Caenorhabditis elegans: one gene and its partner. The protein of the gene in region 1 purifies or fractionates together with the protein of each later gene. This does not show direct contact. Each region holds a gene or a part of one and is shown on either strand. Other genes may lie near its edges. The genes, in order: C29E4.17 and clec-265.

Region 1 (2,975 bases):
CGTGGATTGGGGGCGGAGCGTTGTCAATTGACCATACATCTCGTTTCCATGTCGATTACAAAAGGGCTCTCATCATCGATAATGATATTTCAAAAATATACATTTTCAGCGAACTCGATAAAAATGGAGATGGGATGATCAGTTTCAGCGAATATTCAAAGAAGTTCTCATAGACTCGAATATTGCTTTTTAATTTTACTCTATAAATTAACTTTCTACCTATTTTTGTGATTATTTTTAGATTTTAATAAAAATTTAAAAAAACTCACTTGACATTACTGGATGCACAGCAGGTGGTAAGAGTCTTATCGCCGCCACAGGGAATTTCTCACAGACGCCAACATCCACAAAATGGCACATGACTTGTCCGGATTGTGGTGGCTGCTTGGCAATTACACGAAACCATGTTCCATTCGAATCTTGAAGGGCATAAGCTCCACCAGCCACAATTTCCTGTAATTAATGAATACAGTTGTCTCATTTATGTAAAAGTACCAGGGCTGGGCATTTTTTGGATTTTTCGAACCAAAAAGGCAACAAAAAACCACTTTGGAACTCCAAACGTTTTTTGTAGATCTACAAAGTATATTTTACAAGTTTCGGGTTTTTTATAGTTTTTAATTCGTTATCCGAAATATTAGTTTTTGAATTCTTTTATTCATCTTTGTATGTTTATCAAAAAATATTTACGTTTTTTAATTGTTTCAACAACTTCAATTTTTTTCTTTTTTCGTCGGAAGCCAGTTGAGCACATGAACTTACATAAATTGCAACTCGACTATCGAGTGCCGATGGCGGAGTTTCTTGAGCATAAATCTCAGCGAGCGTAGTTCCAATTTTTTCATACTGATCGTCATCCGCGAGAGCTCGAATAAAGAATCTCTTTGGCGAATCTGCATAGACGATTGACACAGTTGATCCTTCTTTTAGAGCGACAGATTGTTGAGAAAGCTGAATATTAAATAAAATTGATCTTAAAAAATTGAATTTAAAAAACATACCGTTTTTGCATGCTCCGTTGGCTCATTCTCTTTTCTTTGTTTAATTTTTTTCAACTCATCCGCAGTTGGTTCTCGATCCGTGGAAATGACTGAATAAGTATTGAATGTTTAAATGTTTCAAAAAGAATACAAAATATTTTTAGAAAACATTTGGTGCAGAACAAAAAACAAATTACGAGTGAGTATATAATTACACAACGATTAGAACTCACTGAAATCGGAATTCAATTCCTCCATATTCGAATTAAGGTTAGAGAAGACAGAGGGGGCGTGGTGTTAATGCGAATTGGGCAAGCTGAAAGTAGGGATTAGATGAAGCATCAGCAGCAGGAGGCTTTGGATGATGGGATCAATTTCATGCAATGAAGGGATAGGCTAAGCAAAGAATAAAGGGGATTGGACAGTAAAGAGGTGATGTTAATTAAGTCGTTGAAATGTGAGTATATATTAGGTTGGGAATACTTATGACCGAGTAAATAAATAGAAGAATTGGCGGGAATTTTTAATTTAATCGTTTGTAATACTGTTTGAACAGGTTCCTTTGATTTAGCAATTATTTACTTCATCACTTTTGAAATAATCAGAATTAATTTCTAGTATATTTTTTTTGAAAAACGTGAACTTCATATTGTAGTAATTTTTTACAACAGTGGTTTGTCAAGGGACGTTTTCCTTTTTTTTTAACAATTTGTGTTTCAAAAAGCTATTGATGAGGTAAGAATTTTGTTTCGACGAATCTAAAATAGTCTTAAATTAAGAAATATCATTTAAAAAATCAAAAAAGAATGAAAAATTATACACACTTTTTAACCTATCAGACAGATTTTTCATTTCTTGTCGATTTTCATCATTTTTTCGTATTTCATGATTATTTTGAGTAATTTTAAGTAAACCCCTCATTTTCCGTTTTTTTTGCAGTTTACCCAATGAAATAATCGAATGGATTTTCTTGGGATCCATCCTGTTGCTCACACTTTTCTCAATAATTATGGGTGGTTATTTGACAATGCGGATTAGGAGGGTATTTTCTTTTTGAATTTATTCAGTTAATTCTAAATATTTTAGATGGGCGGATTCAATCTGAAAATTTCATACAGGCCACCGGATTCTGAAGCAGAAACTAAGAAGAAGAAAAAGCAAAAACTAATTATTTGATTTTTAAATATTTTTCGAATAAAAATAAATTAGTAATTTTACTAGTAACACTTCAAACTAATAATTTAGGTCGAGGGACAAAGAGACATAGAAAGGACAAGAAAAGGACAGTTATTCTGTATGTGTGTCCCCGTTTTCCGACAGCATGTTCACATAATTGTTATTTCTTTTCACTTTTTGAGTGTCTATTTAAATGTATTCAGAATGTATTCATTCACCTCGTACATTTACTGAATTTATGGGTGGTCTTTTGAACGATGATGTGTTTGAGAGACGGACGAACAGTATGGTGATGGGGCCGCGTGTCTGGAAATTGCTTTTTTTGGAATAATTTTTTAGTCTTTATTTCTCGAAAAGTAGCGGTTTTCATGAAAAATTACGATAATGGGTCTCGGGACGATTTGAAATTATTTGCGCTACAATATGTGAAGAGTACTGTAGTTATGACCATTGAAGTCGTTTTTTTTGTTTTTGTTTGTGTCGTACTCGTGTCGTACTCGTGAATGGCGCACACTCTTTTAAGTTTTCAATCGCGTCGAGACCGGGTACCGTAATTTAGGTGATATAATACTTTTGATAGCTTAGAATATACCTGAGCTTCAAACTCTTCTGCAGCAGTGACTTGCTGAATCCAATCTTCGGGAAGTTCACGTCCAAGTCCTTTTGAAACAAATCTGAAAACCAAAAAACTTTTGAATTTTCTAAAAAAAACAGTAATTACTATCAAGAGCGCCATCGAAAATTTTTCGCTTTTTCTAGAAAAATATCGACAAATCGAAAATTTATCAAAAATACATAGATTTTGATATTTTAATGATT
Region 2 (3,747 bases), on another chromosome or scaffold:
ATCATCGCTTTGATGCAAAATGGAAAAGAGGAGAGGAAGTGGAGAAGCTGTTCACATATTTCCCAAACAACACCTCAGCGCATGTTGCGAGTATGCAAAAGACTGTGAGTTTCTTTTTTCAGCTAGGACTCCCAGCTGACTTGAGTGAAACGCGAAATGCGGGCCTCACGCCGACGCCTGTCGTTTTTGTTTGTGTGAAATGAAGTGTGAAAGGTAATTATTTGGAAGCGGCCGACACGTTCGGGGTTCCGTGCCGCACTATAAATTCGGATACAAGTGGGTGTAGGCCGTCGCGGGCGCTGTTGCAGCGACCTTATGGGAAGCCCTATTTTCAACACGCCGTGAGGACCAAATGGAAATCTGCATGTTTCTAGGCTATAACAATATTCAATGGTTCGCTTCCCGTATTCTCATTTGATTTCATTAAAGGATTGAACAATTGCGTTCGGCAAATGTAAGTTTGACTAAAAGTAAATTGAAAAGTAGTTTTTTTCAGGGAAACACAAATTATTTGTACAAGCACTGGTGGAATGTGTAGAGATCATATGGATAAAATGACCGAATGGATTTATGATAAAACTGAGAACGTTTTTGTATAATTCTATGACTTTTATTTCCGTTCTTGGTTCCGAACACATAAAAAACGACACGTTTTTATAACAATAAGTTTACACTTTGTGAAACATTTAACATGAAAAAATCCGGTTATCCAAACGGATAATTTATGTTGAAACCGTATTTTAGGGAAATTTTATGAAATGTTATACAAGATGAAGCACATTCAAGTATACAACATATTAGAAAACAGCAATACAAAATCTTCATCAGAATAAAGAAACAAATCAATAGAACACTTTTAATAGACATATCGTTTACATGCTGCATATCGACATGTTTGATAGGCACAGTTGCCCATTCTCATGTAGGTTGCATACCCCATCGGATTGTTCAAGATAATCTGAAAACAACAAACATTGAAAAAAATGCCGTTTCAAAAAAATTAGTACCTGTCCCTGGCTAGTATAGTCGGCCGGCTCAGCTGGAGCGAATCCCTGAGCATAGTCAAAAACAGTAGAGTCATCCCATTGGAAGTATCCACGGTCCGAGTTATAAGTTAGCCCAATAATAATGTTGTCTCTAGCTGTCGCGGTAGAAACCCAATATGAATTCGCTTGGACTCCAAGACCTGAAAATTCGAATATAAGTACATATATAATTGATTTTAGCGCAAAATCTTACGGTTAATGAAAGCAGCTTCTCCTGCATTATGAACAGAAGCCAGTGTTCCTCCCATGCTTCTACAAGTGTTCATAGCATTATAATAGGTAGTGTTGGAAATAATCTTGAAACAAGCACATGTTGGTGGATAGTACTCCCATCCGGATTGGCATGGAACAAAGTCTGAAATGAAGAGCCAATTAATAAATTTGGAAATCCTCCAGAAAAATAACTTACTCAAATACTTTTGAACACAGCTCGGAAATCCACTTGGTTTTACAGTTGTGGTGAGCACTGGTTTCGGGGTTGGTGGCACAAGGTCAAATTCGCACAGTACACTGTGAGAATCTGGGCATGGCTGAGCATACCAGTATCCGTTCATTCCAATTGTGATGCAATAACCAACGTTTACACTGAATGGTTCTCCTGAAACAAAATGACTGGTGAACAAAATGTTCAATTGAAAGCTTTTTGAACTTACCAACTGCAAAGTTTGTGTAGATTGGTGGTTTTCCGTCATCTCCAACAATATATGTTCCATCAGCTACATATTCGAGCCAAGTGTGCCAATTAGCATGTACTACAATAATTCAAATGTATGTAGATAAAACGTTTTAAACTTACATTGAACTTGTTCAGTGACAAAGTTATTCTCAGCATACGTGAGGGGTGTGGTGAGTCTGGCATATGGTCCGTATGTCTTCCGGCAGTAGGCAAGGGCATTATCCCGAGTCATATCCATGCCAAGAGCTGCGTAGCATCTAAACAAATGTATTAACAGTGCAATTCGAATAAGAACGGATTCTCACTTTGCGTTATAGATTTTTGTTCCAGTTGGGCAAGTTAAAGCATTTGTGCAGTAAAACACAGAAGCAATAAGAGAAATTACAAAAATTAAGTTTTGCGACATTTTCGAATCGAGCGATATCAATGCCTCCGATGACGATTTTTATACAACTGTTATCAGTGCACCATAATTGCATGATGATTTCAATTTCCGAATCGTCATTAGGGAGTTTGGTCTTTCTTGAAATACTTTATCGCGGTTTATGAAAATGTCACTGATTAATTAAAAATGATAACCTTTTGGAAATAATTTGGAAGCAGCATTTGTAGTCGTATTATCAAGAAGTTATATTTAAACGGAAATTATTTTGCGGTGGTGGTCAAAAGCATATTAGTGTTTGATTGTTTGCTGATATTTCATTGTTTTCAAATAAGTATACAAACATATAAATCGTTGCATAATTGTGCCCGCATCGACCAAAAAACTTAATTTTTATTCGATTGTCATCTTTAATTGCATATTTTGGCATTTTACTACGTGTTATTTTGTTAATTGAGATGCGTTTTTGGTACCATAATTGTGCCCGCATCAACCAAAAAACATTTCGATCAACAAAATAACACGTAATAAAATGCCAAAACATGCAAAGGATGACAATCAAATAAAAATTAAGTTCCAACCGCTGCGACACTGAAAAGTTATCAAAAATTTGAGATTTTAGCTAAAAAGGGCCATTTTTTTCCAAAACTTTGAGCGCCCATAATTTTTTTTTTTGAAAAATTTTCAGAACGTCTGGTTACGAAATTCGGTAGGTTTGCGTCATTTTGTGTCTAAAACGCAAAGTCTCAAATTTCGGTACTCCACCTCGGAATTATTTGCTTCCATCGGTCGAAACTTCTTTGGTTTTCCGATTGTGCTCATGTTCACGAGACATCAGTGGGAGCCAACACAGAGTCCTTTTTGTCCTTTTTCGCTTGTCTCCGGAAAATTGCGTTGCCATATCCATAGATTTACTCTTTCTTCCGTCGTTCCTCCAAAATCAGCTACGATTCTCGCCGCAAATCCCGTTGTTCTCCTTTAACGCTAGAATTCAAATCTATTGCTGCAACAAAGACGAATGACACAAAAATTCATTATCCAGGAACATTACCGCGAAATGGAAAACAACATTTCGAAATTCGGTACTGATTTAGATATTTACCTTGGATCCGACGGCTTATACCGAATCAGAAAAAGAGTTCACTCGTCAATGCTTCCAAGAGAATCATCACATGAGCCAATCGTCATCCATCACAAGTATGCTCTGGTAGAAATCATCATGAGAGAAACTCACGAGATCAACAGCCATCTATTTTGAAAGGTAATATATTTTTCCATTTACTAGAGACATTGCACAGTTGTAAAACATATCAAAGAGCGAGATGAGAAAATTAGTGGATGTAAAACATATTGGACTTGTTGCTTTGGAAATTAGGGAAAGAACACAAGGATAGACAATTGAAAAACAAATATTTAGATCAATGATGTTGATAACATTGATATTTCACGAAAGCATCGACCATTTTCAAACAAACTGCCTTCACACTTCATGACGTCAGAGCAAATCGAATGAGCTGTGTTCTGTAAGAATAAAATTTGAGAAAGTTGTAAAAAAATAATTTAAAATACTTCTCCGTGGAAAATTTTTCCAATCGCTTCTGTGACTAGGATCGTATTTTGAATGTTTTTGAAGCAGTGATCGC

Evidence for each region.
Region 2: the proteins of C29E4.17 (region 1) and clec-265 fractionate together in Caenorhabditis elegans (co-fractionation; one large-scale study listed by BioGRID). This does not show direct contact.

Annotation. Positions count from the first base shown.
Region 1 is NC_003281.10:7,920,828-7,923,802, forward strand, and holds C29E4.17 (Spiroplasma plectrovirus-related protein), read left to right. Parts: upstream 1-1,679; 5' UTR 1,680-1,710; coding exon 1,711-1,715; intron 1,716-1,919; coding exon 1,920-2,022; intron 2,023-2,066; coding exon 2,067-2,156; 3' UTR 2,157-2,192; downstream 2,193-2,975. Other genes in the region: Putative protein tag-250, read right to left, coding at 270-453, 763-951, 1,002-1,090, 2,375-2,462, 2,749-2,830; C29E4.14 (EF-hand domain-containing protein), read left to right, coding at 110-173.
Region 2 is NC_003284.9:3,030,177-3,033,923, reverse strand, and holds clec-265 (C-type lectin domain-containing protein), read right to left. Parts: upstream 2,142-3,747; 5' UTR 2,129-2,141; coding exon 2,028-2,128; intron 1,980-2,027; coding exon 1,843-1,979; intron 1,799-1,842; coding exon 1,700-1,798; intron 1,645-1,699; coding exon 1,456-1,644; intron 1,402-1,455; coding exon 1,240-1,401; intron 1,187-1,239; coding exon 1,008-1,186; intron 959-1,007; coding exon 857-958; 3' UTR 807-856; downstream 1-806. Other genes in the region: M02F4.2 (Nucleotid_trans domain-containing protein), read left to right, coding at 1-104, 375-454, 497-599.